2 linked regions of the Stegostoma tigrinum genome follow. The protein of the gene in region 1 binds, or shares a complex with, the protein of each later gene. Links are inferred from orthologs where the notes say so. Each region holds a gene or a part of one and is shown in the gene's direction. Other genes may lie near its edges.

Region 1 (10,919 bases):
AGAAACTCCCTTCTGTGTCCTGTTGCCCAGCCAGTTTTTTATCCATCTAGCTAACACACCCTGGACCCCATGTGACTTCACTTTCTCCATCAGCCTGACATGGGAACCTTATCAAATGCCTTACTGAAGTCCATGTATACAGCCTTTCCCTCATCAATCAACTTTGTCACGTCCTCAAAGAATTCTATTAAGTTGGTAAGACATGACCTTCCCTGTACAAAACCATGTTGCCTATCACTGATAAGCCCATTTTCTTCCAAATGGGAATAGATCCTATCCCTTAGTATCTTCTCCAATAGCTTCCCTACCACTGACGTCAGGCTCACCGTTCGATAATTACCCGGATTATCCTTGCCGCCCTTTTTAAACAAGGGGACAACATTAGCAAGTCTCCAGTCCTCTGGGACCTCAGCCGTGTCTAAGGACACTGCAAAGATATCTGTTAGGGCCCCGGCTATTTCCTCTTGCTTCCCTCAGTAACCTGGGATAGATCCCATCCGGACCTGGGGACTTGCCCACCTTAATGTCTTTTAGGATACCCAACACTTCCTCCTTCCTGATGTCAACTTGACCTACACTAAGCAAACATCTATCCCTAATCTCAACATCCGTCATGTCCCTCTCCTTGGTGAATACCGATGCAAAGTACTCATTAAGATTGTCACCCATTTTCTCTGACTCAGCGCATAACTTTCCTTCTTTGTCCTTAAGTGGGCCAATCCTTTCTCTACTTACCCTCTTGCTCTTTATATATGAATAAAAGGCTTTGGGATTTTCCCAGCAATATCTCATGTCCTCTCTTAGCCCTCTTAATCCCTTTTTTCAGATTCGCTCTACATTCCGATATTCTTGCAAAGCTTTGTCTGTCTTCAGTCGCCTAGACCTCATGTATGCTTCCTTTTTTCTCTTGGCTAGTCTCACAATTTCACCTGTCATCCATGGTTCCTTAATCTTGCCATTTCTATTCCTCATTTTCACAGGAACATGTCTCTCCTGCAAGCTAATCAACCTCTCCTTAAAAGCCTCCCATATATCAAATGTGGATTTACCTTCAAACAGTTTCTCCCAATCTACATTCCTCAGATCCTGCCGAATCTTGGTATAGTCGGCCTTCCCCCAGTTTAGTACTCTTCCTTTAAGACCACTCCTATCCTTGTCCATGAATATTGTAAAACTTACGGAATTGTGGTCGCTATTTCCAAAGTAGTCCCCTACTGTAATATCAACTACCTGGCCAGGTTCATTCCACAGCACCAGGTCCAGTATGGCCCCTTCCCGAGTTGGACTACATACATACTGCTCTAGAAAACCATCCTGGACACACCTTACAAATTCTGCTCTGTCTTGACCCCTAACACTGAGTGAATCCCAGTCAATGTTGGGAAAATTAAAATCTCCCATCACCACCACCCTGTTTCTCCTACACCTTTCCATTATCTGTTCACATATTTGTACCTCTATCTCACACTCGCTGTTGGGAGGCCTGTAGTACAGCCCCAACATAGTTACTGCATCCTTCCTATTTCTGAGTTCTACCCATATTGCCTCACTGCTTGAGTCCTCCATGGGGCCCTCCTTCAGTGCAGCTGTGATATCGTCTGTGACCAGTAATGCAACTCCTCCACCCCTTTTACCTCCCTCTCTATCCCGCCTGAAGCATCGATATCCTGGGACAACAAGCTGCCAGTCATGCCCTTCCCTCAACCAAGTCTCAGTAATAGCAATAACATCATACTTCCAGATACCGATCCAAGCCCTAAGCTCATCTGCCTTATCTACTACACTTCTCGCATTAAAACAAATGCACCTCAGACCACCTGTCCTTTTGTGTTCATCATCCACTCCCTGACTACTATTCTCTTTAGTCACACTGACTCCATTATCTAGTTTCCTATAGGCTTTCATTACTACCTCTTTTCTGTCCAATATTTGGTTCCCACCCCCCCTGCCACATTAGTTTAAACCCTCCCCCACAGCATTAGCAAAAGCACCCCCAAGGACATTGGTTCCAGTCCGGTTCAGGTGTAGACCGTCCAATTTGTAATAGTCCCACCTTCCCCAGAACCAGTTCCAATGTCCCAAAAATCTGAACCCCTCCCTCCTGAACCATCTCTCAATCCGCTGCCCAAATAAATGAAGACCACTCCCGCTCGAGGTAAGCTTTTTAAAGTGGGGAAAAAAACCTTACCTTCCCGGCAGCCTCCTGGTGCTCTCTCTGTCTGGCTCTCTCGTAAGACTTTCCCTCCATACCAGGCAACATCCTAGTAAACCTCCTCTGCATCCTTTCCAAAGCTTCCACATCCTTCTTATATCTTCTACAGAACTGTACGCAATACTCCAAGTGCGGCCGCACCAGAGTTTTGTACAGCTGCAGCATAACCGCTTGGTTCCGGAATGCGATCCCTCTATTAATAAAAGCTAAAACACTGTATGCCTTCTTAACAGCCCTGTCAACCTGGAGTAGAGACCAGATTAACATTCCCTCAGTGATTTGGAAGTAGGTGAGCACTTTGGTGATAGCGATCACAATTCTGTTATGTTTACTTTAGTGATGGAAAGGGATGGGTGTATACCACTGGGCAAGAGTTATAGCTGCGGGAAAGGCAGGGGATGGGCACATTAGAAATGTGGAGCTTATTCAAGGAAAAGCTCCTGTGTGTCCTAGATAAGAACATATAGAACATAGAACATCACAGCACAGTACAGGCCCTTCGGCCCTTGATGTTGTGCCGACCTGTCTTATCGATCTGAAGCCCATCTAACCTACACTATTCCATGTACGTGCATATGCTCATCCAATGACGACTTAAATGTACCTAAAGTTAGCAAATCTACAGCCGTTGCAGGCAAAGCATTCCATTCCCTTACTACTCTCTGAGTGAAGAAGCTACCTCTGACATCTGTCCTATATCTTTCACCCCTCAATTTAAAGCTATGCCCTCTCGTGCTCGCCATCACCATCCTAGGAAAAAGGCTCTCCCTATCCACCCTATCTAACCCTCTGATTATTTGATATGTTTCAAATAAGTCACCTATCAACCTACTTCTCTCTCATGAAAACAGCCTCAAGTCCCTCAGCCTTTCCTCATAATACCTTCCCTCCATACCAGGCAACATCCTAGTAAATCTCCTATGCACCCTTTCCAAAGCTTCCACATCCTTCTTATAATGCGGTGACCAGAACTGTACGCAATACTCCAAGTGCGGCCGCACCAGAGTTTTGTACAGCTGCAGCATAACCTCTTGGTTCCGGAACTCGATCCCTCTATTAATAAAAGCTAAAACACTGTATGTCTTCTTAACAGCGCTGTCAACCTGGGTGGCAACTTTCAAGATCTGTGTACATGGACACCGAGATCTCTCTGCTCATCAACACTGCTAAGAATCTTACCATTAGCCCTGTACTTTGCCTTCCGGTTATTCCTACCAAAGTGCATCACCTCACACTTGTCTGCATTAAACTCCATTTGCCACCTCTCAGCCCAGCTCTGCAGCTTATCTATGTCTCTCTGCAACCTACAGCATCCTTTGTCACTATCCACAACTCCACCGACCTTAGTGTCGTCTGCAAATTTACTAACCCATCCTTCTACGCCCTCATCCAGGCCATTTATAAAAATGACAAACAGCAGTGGACCCAACACTGACCCTTGCGGTACACCACGAGTAACTGGTCTCTAGGATGAACGCTTCCCCATCAACTACCACCCTCTGTCTTCTTTCAGCAAGCCAATTTCTGATCCAAACTGCTATATCTCCCACAATCCCATTCCTCTGCAATTTGTACAATAGCCTACTGTGGGGAACCTTATCGAACGCCTTGCTGAAATCCATATACAACACATCAACCGGTTTACTCTCATCTACCTGTTTAGTCACCTTCTCAAAGAACTCAATAAGGTTTGTGAGGCACGACCTACCCTTCACAAAACTGTGCTGACTATCCCTAATCAATTTATTCTTTTCTAGATGATTATAAATCCTATCCCTTACAACCTTTTCCAACACTTTACCAACAACTGAGGTCAGGCTCACTGGTCTATAATTACCAGGGTTGTCTCTACTCCCCTTCTTGAACAGGGGAACCACATTTGCTATACTCCAGTCATCTGGCACTATTCCTGTAGACAATAAGTATGTACCTGTCAGGCAGGGAGGAAGCTGCAGAGCGCGGGAGCCTTTTTCCTAGGATGGTGACGGCGAGCATGAGGGGGCATAGCTTTAAATTGAGGGGTGAAAGATATAGGACAGATGTCAGAGGTAGTTTCTTCACTCAGAGAGTAGTAAGGGAATGGAACGCTTTGCCTGCAACGGTAGTAGATTTGCCAACTTTAAGTACATTTAAGATGTCATTGGATAAGCATATGGACGTACATGGAATAGTGTAGGTTAGATGGGCTTGAGATCGGTATGACAGGTCGGCACAACATCGAGGGCCGAAGGGCTTGTACTGTGCTGTAATGTTCTATGTAGATGCTGTTGAGATTTTCCAGCAACTTCTGTTTTTGTTTCCTAAGGATAACCCACCAAGCCTGCACACCCCTGCATGCTTTGGACAATTTAGCATGGCCAATCCATCTAACCTGCACATTTTTGGATTATGGGAGGAAATCTATGCCAAGGGGGGAGAATTTTCAAATTCCACACAAACCGTTGCCCAAAGCTGGAACTGAACCCAGATCTGTGGTGCCATGTGACAGCAGTGCTAACTGCTGAACCATTGTGCTATGAATTTTATACCCGTCAAAACTCCTTTTATTTGAGACTGACCTTGCAGTAGTTCAGAAATGTTCGTGCTGAACTGAATTCTGGATAATGAGAAAAACAATAGTAATTAGAGATTTGATAGTGCACAGTTGATTCTGTGGCTGCAAGAGAGACTCCAGGATTGTATCAGAGATAGTAAGAACTGCCGATGCTGGAGAATCTGAGATAACAAGGTGTAGGACTGGATGAACACAGCAGTTCAAGCAGCTTCAGAGGAGCAGGAAAGCCGATTGGACCTGAAATGTCAGATTTCCTGCTCTTAAGATGCTGCTTGGCCTGCTGCGTTCATCCAGCTCCACACCTCGTTAATTCAGGGAGCTAGGTAGTATACTGAAAAGTAGGATCTCTTAAAATAGTAATTTCAGGATTACTCCCCATGCGATGTGCTTCTCAGGCTAGGAACAGAGACATTACAATTCAATATGTAGCTAAAGATGCTGCTTGGCCTGTTGGGTTCGTCCAGCTCCACACTTTGTTATCGTTAAAGAACTGGTGTAGGGGGCTTGGGCTTCAGATAAGTGGGTCATTGGGATGCCTTCCAGGTAAGGGGAGACCTGAACAGGCAGGACAAATTGGACCTAAACTGGAGGGGCAACAATATCTTGGCAGGGAGGTTTAAACTAGTGTGGTGGGGCTATGATCTGGAGTAGCAAGTCAGTAAATATACAGGCTGGGGAAGGGCTTGAGTCAAAAGCAAATATAACGCAGAGGAAGACATAACAAAGTGTGGAGCTGGATGAACACAGCAGGTCAAGCAGCATCTTAGCAACTCCACACTTTGCAGATGCTTGAGAATCCAAGATAACAGTTCGCATTATCTCTGATACAATAACTCAGAGTAAGAGCAGTCAGGGACAGGTTGCGGAGCTCAGCGGAACTGGAGGCTTGGAGTGCATTTGCTTCGATGCAAGTTGTATAACAGGCAAGGCAAATAAACTGGATTAATGTATACAATTACGATCTTGTTGCAATCACAGAGATATGGTTGAAAGAGGGATAGGATTGGAAGCTTAACTTTCCAGTATATCGATGCTTTAGTCGAGACAGAGGCGGAAGCAATAGAGGTGGGGAGTTGCATTACTGGTTAAAGGATGCATCAGCTGTGTTCGGTTCAAGTCTAGACAGCCTGTGGTGCTCTCGGAACAAGCACACACCCACGGAGCGGCTTCTGCCGGAGGGCGTTCCGTTGCCCTGGGTAACGCAGGGAGCTCCACTTCACTCGCCCTCACCAACATGGCGTCCGCGAGCACCCACAGCAAAGTCGCGCGCTGCTGGGCTCCGCGGCGGGTCGAACAATTCGCCCGTGAAGGGCCCGCCCCCTCATTGTTGCATCCGCCGGAAGTCGGTCCTCGCTTCGGGCAGCACGCGCAGTCGGGTTTCGGTACGGGTGCCGTACGGGCTCAGCGACGGCGGCATGGAGAGCGCATTCCCGTACTCCCTTTATCCCAGCTTCTACAACTCCGGTCCCTCCGCTTGGAACCCCTGGGAGCCAGGGGGCTGGGGAGAGTATGAACATGTCCAGCCGTTCTGTGCGGAGGGCGGGGGCCAACAGGTGAGGGTCGAACTGCGGGAGCGGGAAACGCCGCCTCCCCTCCTGGGGAGCAGCTTTGGGGAGAGATGGGGGCAGTAACGGCTCGTTGCACCACCTCACGCTGGAACAACAAAGCAATCAAACATACTTGTACTGGGTCTCCCTCATGCTGGGGACGCCTCGCCGTTAATACTGAAGACTGCTTGCTAGGTTAGAGCAGCTGGAGAATCTGAGATAACGAGGTGTAGAGCTGGATGAACACAGCAGGCCAAACAACATCCATAAGACCTAGGAGTGTAAGTGAGGCCATTCGGCCCAACAATTCCACTCCGCCATTTAAACCATGGCTGATGGGCATTTCAACTCCACTTCCCTGCACTCTTCCCCCGTAGCCCTTGATTCCTTTTGAGATCAAGAATTTGTCGATCTCTGCCTCGAAGGCATCCAACGTCCCGGCCTCCACTGCACTCTGCGGCAATGAATTCCACAAGCCCACCATTCTCTGGCTGAAGAAATGTCATCTCATTTCAGTTTTAAATTTACCCCCTCTAATTTTAAGGCTGTGCCCATGGGTCCTAGTCTCCCTGCCTAACGGAAACAACTTCTTAGCATCCACCCCTTCTAAACCATACATTATCTTGTAAGTTTCTATTAGATTTCCCCTCAACCTTCTAAACTCTAATGAGTACCATCCCAGGATCCTTAGTCGTTCATCATATGCTAAACCTACCATTCCAGGCATCATCCATGTGAATCTCTGCTGGACACGCTCCAGGGCTAGTATGTCCTTTCTGAGGTGTGGGGCCCAAAATTGGACACATTTAACGTGGTTACGTGTTTCGTACATCTAAGTCATTGCAGTGTGGAGCTGGAGGAATGTCGACTCTCCTGCTCCTTTGATGCTGCCTGGCCTGCTGTGTTCCTCCAGCTCCACACTATTATGTTATCTCAGCCGTGATCTTGTTGAGTGGTAGAACAGGCTTGAGTGCAGAAAGGTAAATCCTGACCCCTATTTTCATAGATGGTGGAAGATGAGTCAAATTTTCAAGCAGTGGAAAGTGAAAATTACAAGAGGGCACCCCAGTTATGAGAAGGAATAGCTGCAGGGAAGGTAATACTAATCTATCAGAGGTAACAATGTGTGGGGCTGGATGAACACAGCAGGCCAAGCAGTGCTCCTAAGATGCTGCTTGGCATGCTGTGTTCATCCAGTTCCACAATTTGTTACCTTGGATTCTCCAGCATCTGCAGTTCCCACTTTCTCTGATCACAAATCTATCAGATATTTGTTTTGAGTTGAAAAGCATTTCATAAAATTAGATTCTACACAGGAACTTCAGATGAAATGTAGAGATAATCAGGTGAAACTTTGCTGTCTCAATAATATTTCTGCTCAAGGGGGAAGTTTGAGTTAGTTCTTTTTCAATCTTTTTATATCCCAGGAATGAAGGGCTTGTCATATGAAGAGCCAGAAGCCACATGATACCAGGTTATAGCCCAACAGGTTTACTTAAAACCACAAGCTTTTGGAGTGTAGCCCCTTCATCCGATGGTTCTGGTGTTGTGTGACTTCTGACTTTGCCCACCCCAATCCAACACAGGCACATCCATATCATACGAAGGGTGGGTTAAGGACTCTGGGTCTGTACTCGACGGAGGTTAGAAAGATGGGAGGAGATCTCATTGAAACCTAGAGAATGCCTAGAGACCTGTGTAGAACAAGTTTTGACTAGGGAATGGTCACAGTTTTTTTCCTATTCATTTGTGGGATGTGGGCATTGCTGGCTGGCCAGCATTTATTGCCTGTCCCTGGTTGCTCTTGAGAAGGTGGTGGTGATGATCTGTTTTCTTGAACTGCTGCAGTCCACATGCAGTGGGTTGACCAACAACGTTATTGGGGGGGAGTTCCAGGATTTTTGACTCAGCCAACAGTGAGGGAGCAGCAATATATTTCCTAGTCAGGATGAGGAGGAGCTTGGTAGGGTGGTCTCTGCCGCTGTCTTTTCTGGTGCCTGGGTCAATACCAGATGCTTCATACATTTTCATTTCATTGAGACTTTGTAGTGATTGGTACAACTGAATGGCTTGCTTGCCATTGCAGAGGGCAACTGAGAGTCAACCACATTGCTGTGGGGCTGGAGTCACATGTAGGCCAGACCAGGTGAGGATGATGGATTTCTTTCCCCCAAAGGGTATTAGTGAACCAGAAGGGTTTTTCTGACAATTGACAATGATTTCATGGTGATCAATGGGATTTGAACCTAGGTCTCCAGAACATTAGCTGACTGTCTGGGTTAATGGCTTTGAAATTGCTTCAGGCACACCAAAAACTACATCACCAATATATATTATCAGGAAAAGCAGGGGCCTCAATACCGAGCCCTGGGGATCTCCACTACAAGTCTTTCTCCAGCCCAAAAAATATCATTTCACCATTATTCCAGGTTTCCTTTCACCCATTCAATTTTGCATCCACTTTGCTACACACCCCTTTATTCCATGTCCTGTAAGTCTCTTCACATCTGTGGTGTGGCTCTGTATCAAGCACCTTGTGAAAGTCTGTGTACGCCATATCAACGACATTACCTCTTTGAACATTGTGTTACCACTTCAAATTGTCCAGTAAGTTGGATAAACACTATTTCCCAAGAAATCTGTACTGACACTTCCCAATGAACTTATCATTTTCCATGTGACTATTCATTCTAGCTTGAATAATTGTCTTTAGAAGTTACTCATCACTGAAGTTAAACTGACAGGTCTGTAATTGCTAGTAGGGTTAATGGCCTAGTAATAGTACCACTAAGCCATCGCCTACCCACTGTGAAGAGATGACCCTTTAGAATTGTATTGAGGAATTTCTTCAGCCAGAGGATGGTGAATCTGTGAAATTCATTGCTACAGAAGCCTGTGAAAGCCAAGCTATTTGAGTATATTTAAAACAGAAGACAGGTTCTTGATTTGTGACAGGATCAAGAGTTACAGGGAGAAGGCAGAAGAGTGGGGTTGAGAAACCTATCAGTCATGTTTGGATGGTGGAGCAGCCTTGATGGGCCAAATGGCCTAATTCTGCACTTTTATCTTATGATCTATAATGCTGAAAAGAGACTCTTTTAAAAATCATTTGGTCATACAATTTGCCTTTCCAATCAATGAGTATTCTTTTTCTTTTGTAGTATAAATTATTGTGATCATTTGGTGTTCTTGCACTCGTCCTGACAAATGCAGGATGAAAATCGTCAGCAATGCACCGTTTTTCAGCAAAATTCAAGTCCTCACGACAAAGTGACTGGTTAAATCTTTTTAAAGTTTCATTTTCTTTGAATCATGGCATTTGAATGTTTCTTTTTGTATATACTCACACAACTGTTATTGCAGGAAACTGAATTAAAATGGTCAGCCCTGAAAAGTCTGAAGCGAGAGAGTTGGGAGCCATTGGAACCCATTGCAGTTCCACTACTTCCAGCCAAAACAGGTAATGCAAAGTTGGTTTCATTAGTCAGCTAAGTTGACAGTAACATTATGTAAGAAACGAGTGAGGGCTCTTGGATGAACAGCATTATTGTGAAACACTTTGACATTTAGCTTATCTTTTCATCCCCACTGTTTTACTCCTCTCGTTTGCCATATAGCTTTCCACCATGTGATAAGTTGTTTATAGTGGGAACTGAAGCAAAAGGCAGCAGGTGCTGACTATCTGAGAATTAAATAGAGCGCAAAAAGCCTCAGCTGGTCAGGTAGTATCTGGAAGAAGCTGAGCTGAGTTTGACGCTGACAACCTTTCATTATAACTGGAACAGGTCAATGATCTGCAATGCAAACCTTAACTTGAATGTTATGTTCCAAAAATACGAATTGCTAGAGAAACTCATCAGGACTGGCAGCATAATTGGAGAGAAAGCATAGTTAACTTTTCAAGTCTAGCAAACCTTCTTCAGAACCGATAATAGCTAGGAAATAGTGGTACGTGTGCTGAAGACAGTGAGTGGAGAAAAGAAGTGAGCAGATAGATGGAGATGGAACTCAAAGACAGAGAATGACAGGCAGACAAAGAGATGGGTGATAACATGCTAGGGAAAAAGAAAAGCTGATAACGGGGACCATAAGTGTAGGTGAAAATGAATTGGCTGTGCTGAGAGCAACCTGCGTGATGACCAGGCCTGGGATGTGGGGGTGGATAAAGTTAATGGAAAGAGGTTAGCAGGCTCTAAAATAATTGAGACCTGAAGACTGCAGGGTCTCCAAGTGGAAAACGAGGTGTTGTTCTTCCAACTCGCATTGAGCCACGCTGAAACTCTGCAGCAGGCCTGAAACAGAAATTCTGGCAGTGGAACACAGTCGTGTGTTGAAGTGGCAAGGAGTTGCAAGCTCAGGGTGATTTTTGGTGGATAGAATGTAGGTGTTCAGCAAAGCCTGCTCAGTTTGGGTTTTATCAGTGGCGGGGAATCGGTGGATATTTCTGAGGCAGGTAGACAGAATCATTGGAACAGATGTGACAGAAGTAAATAAACTGGCAGATTGGAATAGGGTCTTTACAGGAAGCAGGGTGTGAGGATATATTGCCCAGGGAACCGTGGAAATCACTGGATTTGTAGTGGATAACGGTGGCCAGCTTATCCCT
Region 2 (11,114 bases), on another chromosome or scaffold:
AGCTGAGATTGTTCGCCTCGGAATAGAAGGGGCCATATGCTGATTGAATGGAAGTGTTCAAAATCATGAGGAGTTCTGATGGAGTGAATGTTTGGGGAAAACGTGTTTGCAGTGGCAGGAGAGTCAGTAGCCAGAGGATACAAATTAAAGCTGAATGAATGGTCAAGAACAGAAGGGGAAATTATTTATTTTTTAACTTTGGTGGTGGGGTTGGTTGAGGGGAGAGGTATGATTTTGATCTAAATTTTGCTTCCATGAAAAGAACAGGAAGCGGATTCAGTCTAACTTTCAACAACGGGATTGGCTAAGTACAGGTACCCTCTTGAGAAGGGAATATTTGTAGCGACAAAGGAAGGGGAAGAGCAGAGTCTGTGGGACTAATTGTGATCAATCTGACACGGGTTGTGTGTCCTTCCTTTGCTGTGTGGTTCTGTAGCTGTTTGAAGAGGAATGTTGCGGTCTATGGGGGTGGGGGGTGGCGGTGGGAGTGGGGGCTTTGAGAGAGGATAGTCGACTGTGGAACTGGGCACTGGGCTGCGCAGTAACTGAAGCTAGCCGAGAGGAAGTTATCTCTGAAAGACGGTCAGGAGACGGCTCTCATGCCCGGTTCCTTTTCCCACTCGGTGCCTCCAGACTATTACCGCCGGCTTTTTCTACCACACCGCTCGGCTCACACGCACCGGCTACAAGACAGTGAAGCACCAGCAGGCAGTCTACGTCCACCCCAACAGCAGCCTGTTCGAGGAGCAGCCCCGCTGGCTCATCTATCACGAGCTCGTCTTCACCACAAAGGAGTTCATGAGACAGGTACACTCCCAACTGACAGCACCTTCCCTGCGCCCGTCTGTTTCTCACCTCTCCTCTGCTACGCCACCATTTCCTGCTTCCTCCCCTGCAGCTTGACTCTGACACTTGGTGCTGGACACAGCTGCGTGAGCGGGCATCACCGGCCCAGCCTGCGTTCTCGTAAAGCCAACACCTCCCGAGTCCACCACGCCCGCATAACCATTGTGACACACATTAAGGATACAGTGTGATTAAGGATATTATTGCTCAATGGGAGGGAGATTTTAGATTTAGGTTCTATTGTCATGTTTACTCAAGCACCATGTAAAGTGTATAGTGTCTCCACACACAACATCATCTCAGATATGAGGGTACCTCAGTACAGAGCAACTTAGGTACAAAGGAGTAAGAGAAACTGAATTAGTAAGTATTACCTTCATGGAATAAGGATAAAAATTAACACTAAAGTCCTCCTCAATTTAAACGAAAAATATACAGTCAGGAGTCACACGACACCAGGTTATAGTCCTACAGGTTTATTTGAAATCACAGGCTTTCAGAGTTTCATTCCACATGACGGAGGAGCGGCGCTCCACAAGTCTGTGATTTCAAATAAAGCTGTTGGACCAAAAGCTGGCGTTGTGTGACTTCTGACTTTCTCCACCAAAGGGCAACCACAGCACCTCCACAGAAGGATTAAGTTCTGTCAGGTCACAGTTTTAGAATCAGACATCTGTCATTTAAGATGGAGACGAGGATGAATTTCTTCTCCGCGAGGGGTGGTGAGTTGTAGAATTCTTTCCCAGATTTGCACCTGTTCAAGGCTGAGGATGACGGATTTATGGGAATCGAGTGTTACAGGGCAGGAAAGGAATTGAGGCGACTTTCAGATGGAACAGACTCGAGGCGCTGAATGGCCTTATCTTACCCCTGTCTGTTAGGCTCCTCCGACATGAAACGAGGCCATTGAGCCCAAGCAGCTGTGTAGACGGTTTGTGATTTTTTTATTCAAGAAGATGTGACTGAAGGGCAGTCATGGCGGCTCAGTGGTTAGGACTGCTGCCTCACAGTGCCAGGGACCTGGGTTCGATTCCACGCTCAGGCAACTGCCTGTGTGGAGTTTGCATGTTGTCCCCGTTTCTACGTGGGTTTCCTCCCACAGTCCAGAGATGTGCACGATAGGGTGGGCTGAGCTATGCTAAATTGCCCATAGTGTTCAGGGATGTGCAGGCTAGTTGGATTAACCATGGGAAATACAGGTGATTTGGGTCCGAGTGTGATGCTGTTCAGAGGGTCAATGTGGACTTGGTGGGCCGAGTGGCCTGCATCCACACTGTAGGAATTCTATGATGCAGGAAAACTCCCCTTCTTCAGGTTTGTGGCCACGTGGAACTTTTTATACCAGAGCTCTAAAGAAATAGGAGTGACTGTGGGCCACCTTTGACCTGCATTATCGTTCAGTGGGAGCGTCGATGCCTCCCATATCCTTTAACTCCCTGATCGATCAAAAATTCCCATGATTCCAGCCTCAAATGGATTCAGTGATGAAGTGTCCATTGCCCTGTGGGATAGCGAATTCCAAATATTCACAGTCCTTTGAATGAAGTCACTTCTTGTCGCCTCTGTCCTTAAAAAAAAGACGATTGGCCCCATGTATCGAGACTGCGTCCCCTTGTTTTGGGTTTCCCCATGTGGGAGAATCACGCTCGTACACTTCAGTGAGACACATTCCCTGGAGGCAACTCCCAGTAAAAGGGGGGACCTACAGCGGCAACCATTACTCTTGGAAGAGATTGTCAACCAGGATTGTATGACCGAGTCCATAGAGTGGGGCATGAGCCTGTGACTTTCCTGACTCTCTCACCAATACCGAGTGCTTGTCAACTGTGGACAATGCGCCACCTAATGATAGAGCCTGGCACTGCACCAACACTCAGTCAGACAGCACCAAAACAGACCCTTCAGTCCAACCAGTTCTTACCGATAAGTTTCCCCAAACTAAACCAGTACCTGTTGCCTGCGTTTGGCCCATATTGCTCTTAAACCTTTAACTAATCATGTATCTGTCCAGCATCTTTTAAATGCTGTAACTGTACCTGCTTCTACCACTTCCTGGAACCACCCTCTGTGTGAAAAGATTATCCCACATGTCCCTTTTAAAATTTTCTCCTCTCACCTTAAAAATATGCCCCCTAGTATTGAAAAATATCCCACCCTAGGGAAAAGACCTTTGCTCTTCACCTTATCTATGTCACTCATGATTTTGTAAACCTCTCTGAGCTCACCCCTCAACCTCCTATGTTCATGATAGAAGTCCCAGCCCATCCACCCTCTCCTTACAACTTAAACCTTCCAGTTCCGGTAACATCCTTATAAACATTTCCTGAACCCTCTCCAGCTTAATAATATCCTTCCTTATAACAGGGCGACCAGAACTGGACACGTTGTTCCAAAACTGACCTCACCAACATCCTGTACAACATCAATATGTTATCCCAAATCCTATACTCAGTGGTCTGCACAGTGAAGGCAAGCAAGCTGTGAATGCCTTATCAATCACCCTGTCCACATGTGACGCAACTTTCAGAAAATTATGCCCCTGAACTCCAAGGTGTCTCTGCTCGACAACACTATCCAAGGCCCTACCATTAACTGGTTAAATCTTGCCCTTGTTTATTTTACTAAAATGCAATATCTCGCATTCGTTCAAATTAAACTCCTTCTGCCATTTCCCAGCCCACTGGCCCAATTGATCAAGATCTCTCTGTAATCTTGGATAACTTTCACAGTCCAAAACCACCACTTCTGGAGTAATCTGCAAACCGTGTTTCCTATATTCTGATCTGTGCTGCTTTTTCTGTTCGGACTGTCAGCTCTACTCCTCTGTCTTTAGCCATCCACATGATGGCTTCCAGAGTGTCCCATCCATCAGCTGAGCCGTGGTGACCTTAAGACTCCATGCAGCACCCCTCAATCTCTCTGTCTGTCTGTCTCTCAGGTGATTGAGATCGACAGCAACTGGCTGTTGGAGGTGGCCCCGCATTATTACAAATCGAAGGAGCTGCAGGATGCGGCCAGCAAGAAGATGCCCAAGAAAGTGGGCAAGACCCGGGAGGAGCTCGGCTGAGGGTCCTGGGTGCGTATCAGACCTGCCATGCCAGGGGCATGAGCCATGCTGGCTGTGCACCCACTCTCCACAGCAGGGTGACAGCCCATCACCAGCATTCACTGCGATTGTGTCGGATTAAATGGAGCAAGTGCTGCCTGAGGGAAGGCCTTGAATCCCCTCGCATCGTGCAGGCACCTCGATGCCAAATTCAGATTGAATTGGAACCACTACCCACCCCCTCCCCGTTCCGTTCCCGGGAGGAATGTTACTCTGCGTTTTGGCCAGCAGCGAGATAGGTTTGGGTGAGAGCGGTGCCTCTCAGTTCATGATTGCCTTTGCCATTGCAGTGCCGTGACCACGGTGGATCTGAGGCACCGGGATCAATAACCAAGAAGGACAACACTCATGATTTCGACGCTGAAGCCACTTGTGTTGTCTGTAGCAGGAGCCTGGACACTCAGGAGCAGTGGCTCATTGTCAGAATTGCACGCATGAGGTCTGTACAGCACAAGCTGTCTGCGGCAGTCCGGACCTGCCGCTTGTTTCAAGTAAAGTTTTGGCACTTTTTTATACAAGAAGAAATACAGTTTGTCTTTCTGTCAGAGCTCTTGCTTTTTTGTTTGTCAGCATTTGTAATCTGTAAAATAGCGGTGCCAAGTGCTCCAGTCCCTTAATTTCCACGGCATCCTCTTGTCAGAGTATCTTTGTGACAGGACTGGGGATCTTTGTCACAGCCATCTATATTCAGAGTCTCACAGGTAGACCTCGTCACAGGGCCCTCACAGCCGACTGTACTCGGGGAATCTCACTGATGGACCCTATCACTGGGTCCCTGCGACAGTCTATATTCAGTATCTCACCGATGGACCCTATCACTGGGTCCCTGCGACAGTCTATATTCAGTATCTCACCGATGGACCTTATCACTGGGTCCCTGCGACAGTCTATATTCAGTGTCTCACCGATGGACCCTATCACTGGGTCCCTGCGACAGTCTATATTCAGTGTCTCACCGATGGACCCTATCACTGGGTCCCTGCGACAGTCTATATTCAGTATCTCACCGATGGACCCTATCACTGGGTCCCTGTGACAGTCTATATTCAGTGTCTCACCGATGGACCCTATCACTGGGTCCCTGCGACAGTCTATATTCAGTATCTCACCGATAGACCCTATCACTGGGTCCCTGCGACAGTCTATATTCAGTGTCTCACCGATGGACCCTATCACTGGGTCCCTGTGACAGTCGATATTCAGTGTCTCACCGATGGACCCTATCACTGGGTCCCTGTGACAGTCTATATTCAGTGTCTCACCGATGGACCCTATCACTGGGTCCCTGCGACAGTCTATATTCAGTATCTCACCGATGGACCCTATCACTGGGTCCCTGTGACAGTCGATATTCAGTGTCTCACCGATGGACCCTATCACTGGGTCCCTGTGACAGTCTATATTCAGTGTCTCACCGATGGACCCTATCACTGGGTCCCTGCGACAGTCTATATTCAGTATCTCACCGATGGACCCTATCACTGGGTCCCTGCGACAGTCTATATTCAGTATCTCACCGATGGACCCTATCACTGGGTCCCTGCGACAGTCTATATTCAGTGTCTCACCGATGGACCCTATCACTGGGTCCCTGTGACAGTCTATATTCAGTGTCTCACCGATGGACCCTATCACTGGGTCCCTGCGACAGTCTATATTCAGTGTCTCACCGATGGACCCTATCACTGGGTCCCTGCGACAGTCTATATTCAGTATCTCACCGATGGACCCTATCACTGGGTCCCTGTGACAGTCGATATTCAGTATCTCACCGATGGACCCTATCACTGGGTCCCTGTGACAGTCGATATTCAGTATCTCACCGATGGACCCTATCACTGGGTCCCTGTGACAGTCTATATTCAGTGTCTCACCGATGGACCCTATCACTGGGTCCCTGCGACAGTCTATATTCAGTGTCTCACCGATGGACCCTATCACTGGGTCCCTGCGACAGTCTATATTCAGTATCTCACCGATGGACCCTATCACTGGGTCCCTGTGACAGTCGATATTCAGTATCTCACCGATGGACCCTATCACTGGGTCCCTGTGACAGTCGATATTCAGTGTCTCACCGATGGGCCCTATCACTGGGTCCCTGCGACAGTCTATATTCAGTGTCTCACCGATGGACCCTATCACTGGGTCCCTGTGACAGTCGATATTCAGTATCTCACCGATGGACCCTATCACTGGGTCCCTGTGACAGTCTATATTCAGTGTCTCACCGATGGACCCTATCACTGGGTCCCTCTGGCAGGATCCTGTCACGATATCCCACTAATGTGAGTGGGAAACCTTCTCCTCTCTGTATCGAATACAGGAGAAGCAAGGCGGGAGGTACAGCTGAAGGATGCTGCTGAAGCGGGAATCGAACCCATGGTGAGGGTCAGTTATTCTGAGCCAAGTGCGATCCAACTGAGCTGCCTGAACCCCGCCCCCCTCCCCCGAAACACCAAGTCAGTGCATGATGAAGAGGTTCCTCCCCTCCACGGGGCGGCGCCGTCGCCATCGAGCGAAGATGTCCCTCCACTTCGTCAGGCGGCGCTGTCGGCGGAGGTTCCTCCCTTCTGTTTGTGTTGTGGGAGGATGGCTGGTCCGACCCGAGCAAGCAACCGGGCTGGAGGGTTCCTCTCCACCGCCGGGAGGCACTGTCCCGGGAGGTTCCAACTCACGCCGCCGCCATAACCGGGCTGGAGGTTTCCTCCTCAACACGGGGAGGCGCTGCCCCTGGAGGTTCAAACACCCACCTCCGCCATAACCGGGCTGGCGGTTTCCTCCTCACCGCCGGGAGGCGCTGAACGTGGAGGATCCAACCCCCGCCGCCGCCATAAACGGCCTGGCTGTTCCCCGGCTCCGCAGGGAGGCGGTGCCCCAGGAGGTCCAATCCCCTCATCGTCGCCGTGACCGGGTTGGCGGTACATCCCCACCACCGGGAGGCGGTGCCCCTGGAGGCGCCATCCCCTCATCGTCGCCGTGACCGGGTTGGCGGTACCTCCCCACCGCCGGGAGGCGCTGCTGGTGGCGGTAGCCTCCCCCCCCTACGCGTATGCGGCCGGAGGGCGATGTTTCCTGTTTCCAAGCCGGGAGCCTGAGCGCTAGGCCGCAGGTGATTCTGGACGTCGAGGCACGTTTACAGTTTCAGGGCCAGGCAGTAGCGGTCGGAGACGAACGGTGCGATTTTGTCTTAAATGGGATGGATGTCGTCGGAGACAGGAAAAAAAGGTTGCATTTGTGTAGCGCCTTTCGCAATTAAGAGCATTTGGAAGCACTTTCTGGATTCTGGAAGGATCGCAGACGAATGGGGATAAGTGGGATCTAACCAACAGTAAAAGTTAGGGCGAGAAACCAGGATTGATGCCGTTGTGTCGGATAATCAGTCCTCATCGGGAAGAATGGCGCAGCACGCTCGATGGGCTGAATGGCCTCCTGCTGCTGCTGTCCTTTCTATCTCTGTGCAAACTGTTTGTCTTTGTGAAGGGAGATTATTGTCGGTCAGGAAATCCGGGGGGTGCGGGGTGCTCCCCACTCCCCTCCCCGTGATCTTCATAAAAACCTCCTCTGTATCCACCCAAAAAGATTAACATCCCATTTAAATACTGACCCTCGGACAGTGCAGCACTCCCTCAGTACTGACCCTCTGACAGTGCGGCACTCCCTCAGTACTGACCCTCTGACAGTGCAGCACTCCCTCAGTACTGACCCTCTGACAGTGCGGCACTCCCTCAGTACTGACCCTCTGACAGTGCGGCACTCCCTCAGTACTGACCCTCTGACAGTGCGGCACTCCCTCAGTACTGACCCTCTGACAGTGCGGCACTCCCTCAGTACTGACCCTCTGACAGTGCGGCACTCCCTCAGTACTGACCCTCTGACAGTGCAGCACTCCCTCAGTACTGACCCTCTGACAGTGCGGCACTCCCTCAGTACTGACCCTCTGACAGTGTGGCACTCCCTCAGTACTGACCCTCTGACAGTGCGGCACTCCCTCAGTACTGACCCTCTGACAGTGCAGCACTCCCTCAGTACTGACCCTCTGACAGTGCGGCACTCCCTCAGTACTGACCCTCTGACAGTGCGGCACTCCCTCAGTACTGACCCTCTGACAGTGCGGCACTCCCTCAGTACTGACCCTCTGACAGTGCGGCACTCCCTCAGTACTGACCCTCTGACAGTGCGGCACTCCCTCAGTACTGACCCTCTGACAGTGCGGCACTCCCTCAGTACTGACCCTCTGACAGTGCGGCACTCCCTCAGTACTGACCCTCTGACAGTGCAGCACTCCCTCAGTACTGACCCTCTGACAGTGCGGCACTCCCTCAGTACTGACCCTCTGACAGTGCGGCACTCCCTCAGTACTGACCCTCTGACAGTGCGGCACTCCCTCAGTACTGACCCTCTGACAGTGCGGCACTCCCTCAGTACTGACCCTCTGACAGTGTGACACTCCCTCAGTACTGACCCTCTGACAGTGCGGCACTCCCTCAGTACTGACCCTCTGACAGTGCGGCACTCCCTCAGTACTGTCCCTCTGACAGTGCGGCACTCCCTCAGTACTGACCCTCTGACAGTGCAGCACTCCCTCAGTACTGACCCTCTGACAGTGCAGCACTCCCTCAGTACTGACCCTCTGACAGTGCGGCACTCCCTCAGTACTGATCCTCTGACAGTGCGGCACTCCCTCAGTACTGACCCTCTGACAGTGCGGCACTCCCTCAGTACTGTCCTTCTGACAGTGCAGCACTCCCTCAGTACTGACCCTCGGACAGTGCAGCACTCCCTCAGTACTGACCCTCTGACAGTGCGGCACTCCCTCAATACTGACCCTCTGACAGTGCGGCACTCCCTCAGTACTGATCCTCTGACAGTGCGGCACTCCCTCAGTACTGACCCTCTGACAGTGCGGCACTCCCTCAGTACTGACCCTCTGACAGTGCGGCACTCCCTCAATACTGACCCTCTGACAGTGCAGCACTCCCTCAGCACTGACCCTCTGACAGTGCGACACTCCCTCAGTACTGTCCCTCTGACAGTGCAGCACTCCCTCAGTACTGACCCTCGGACAGTGCGGCGCTCCCTCAGTACTGTCCCTCTGACAGTGCAGCACTCCCTCAGTACTGACCCTCGGACAGTGCAGCACTCCCTCAGTACTGACCCTCTGACAGTGCGGCACTCCCTCAATACTGACCCTCTGACAGTGCGGCACTCCCTCAGTACTGATCCTCTGACAGTGCGGCACTCCCTCAGTACTGACCCTCTGACAGTGCGGCACTCCCTCAGTACTGACCCTCTGACAGTGCGGCACTCCCTCAATACTGACCCTCTGACAGTGCAGCACTCCCTCAGCACTGACCCTCTGACAGTGCGACACTCCCTCAGTACTGACCCTCCGCCAGTGCGGCACTCCCTCAGTACAGACCCTCTGACAGTGCAGCACTCCCTCAGTACTGACCCTCTGACAGTGTGGCACTCCCTCAGTACTGACCCTCCGACAGTGCGACACTCCCTCAGTACTGACCCTCTGACAGTGCGGCGCTCCCTCAGTACTGACCCTCTGACAGTGCAGCACTCCCTCAGTACTGACCCTCTGGCAGCGCGGTCCACCTTCAGTACTGACCCTCTGACAGTGCAGCACTCCCTCTATACTGACCCTCTGACAGTGCGGCACTCCCTCAGTACTGACCCTCCGACAGTGCGGCACTCCCTCAGTACTGACCCTCCGAAGTGCGGCACTCCCTCAGTACTGACCCTCCGACAGTGCGGCACTCCCTCAGTACTGACCCTCCGACAGTGCGGCACTCCCTCAGTACTGACCCTCCGACAGTGCGGCACTCCCTCAGTACTGACCCTCCGACAGTGCGGCACTCCCTCAGTACTGACCCTCCGACAGTGCGGCACTCCCTCAGTACTGACCCTCCGACAGTGCGGCACTCCCTCAGTACTGACCCTCCGACAGTGCGGCACTCCCTCAGTACTGACCCTCCGACAGTGCGGCACTCCCTCAGTACTGACCCTCCGACAGTGCGGCACTCCCTCAGCTTTGGCCCTCTGACAGTGCGACACTCCCTCAGTACTGACCCTCTGACAGTGCGACACTCCCTCAGTACTGACCCTCCGACAGTGCGGCACTCCCTCAGTACTGCCCCTCTGACAGTGCGACACTCCCTCAGTACTGACCCTCTGACAGAGCGGCACTCCCTCAGTACTGACCCTCCGACAGTGCGGCACTCCCTGAGCTCTGGCCCTCTGCCAGTGCGACACTCCCTCAGCACTGACCCTCTGACAGTGCGACACTCCCTCAGTACTGACCCTCTGACAGTGCGGCACTCCCTCAGTACTGACCCTCCGACAGTGCGGCACTCCCTCAGTACTGACCCTCCGACAGTGCGGCACTCCCTCAATCCTGACCCTCCGGCAGTGCGGCGCTCCCTCAGTCTGTTTCAGCCTTCAATATACTCAGTTGCTCAGATCTGACAGCCATCTGCAATAAATAGATTCACTGCTGTCTGAGAGGACAAATTTCTCAGTGAGCCCACACTCTGAGATTATTCCATCTAATTCTGGACTTCCCCTGACAGTGAAGCGATCTCTCCACATCTACAACGCTGTGCCCTTTGTGAATCTTGTACGTGTTTTGATAAGGTCTCGCTCTTATTCTTCTCATCCCCACAGACCCGCAATGGCCGATTCTTGTTTCCAGTGTGACCCAGATTTCTGCCCCGAGTGTGGAACGATCCTGCCGCTCCCTGGGCCTGAGGACTACGTTGTGTGTCGCAAGTGTGATTTTAAAATCAGCGTGCACAGTGAGTGTCAGAGTGCATGAGGGTAAACAGTTCAGGAGCTGACGTTGCAATCAAACTCGACCTCTGCTAACATTCAACACATACTTGGGTTGGGGGTGGAGGAGTTTGCTGGTTGTCTAGGCAGAAATGCCCTTGAAATTTCCAGTGCATCCAAGGCAAGTCACTCATGAGGCTCGGTACCAGTCAGAGAAAACATGTTCCCTCCCCGACCACCACCACCACCATCACATCCGTAGGGCTGAGGAGAAAGCCTGAATTTTTTAAAACATTGTCCATTGCATGTGAGCATCACTGGCCAGGGTGATATCTGTTGTCCAAAAGGCAGTCAAGAGTCAGCGCCATCACTTTGAGTCTAG

Evidence for each region. The genes of interacting proteins can lie anywhere in the genome.
Region 2: taf1c (region 1) and polr1h share a complex: the UniProt entries of both Homo sapiens proteins name them as parts of the pol I pre-initiation complex. The link is inferred for Stegostoma tigrinum from reciprocal best matches to the Homo sapiens genes TAF1C and POLR1H.

Annotation. Positions count from the first base shown.
Region 1 is NC_081354.1:138,935,233-138,946,151, reverse strand, and holds the start of taf1c (TATA box-binding protein-associated factor, RNA polymerase I, subunit C), read left to right. Parts: upstream 1-6,048; 5' UTR 6,049-6,181; coding exon 6,182-6,319; intron 6,320-9,676; coding exon 9,677-9,773; intron 9,774-10,919. UniProt on the Homo sapiens protein: Component of the transcription factor SL1/TIF-IB complex, which is involved in the assembly of the PIC (pre-initiation complex) during RNA polymerase I-dependent transcription.
Region 2 is NC_081387.1:14,297,292-14,308,405, reverse strand, and holds the start of polr1h (DNA-directed RNA polymerase I subunit RPA12), read left to right. Parts: upstream 1-7,069; 5' UTR 7,070-7,151; coding exon 7,152-7,180; intron 7,181-10,627; coding exon 10,628-10,758; intron 10,759-11,114. Other genes in the region: pre-mRNA-splicing factor ATP-dependent RNA helicase DHX16, read left to right, coding at 634-807, 3,785-3,913. UniProt on the Homo sapiens protein: Core component of RNA polymerase I (Pol I), a DNA-dependent RNA polymerase which synthesizes ribosomal RNA precursors using the four ribonucleoside triphosphates as substrates. Can mediate Pol I proofreading of the nascent RNA transcript.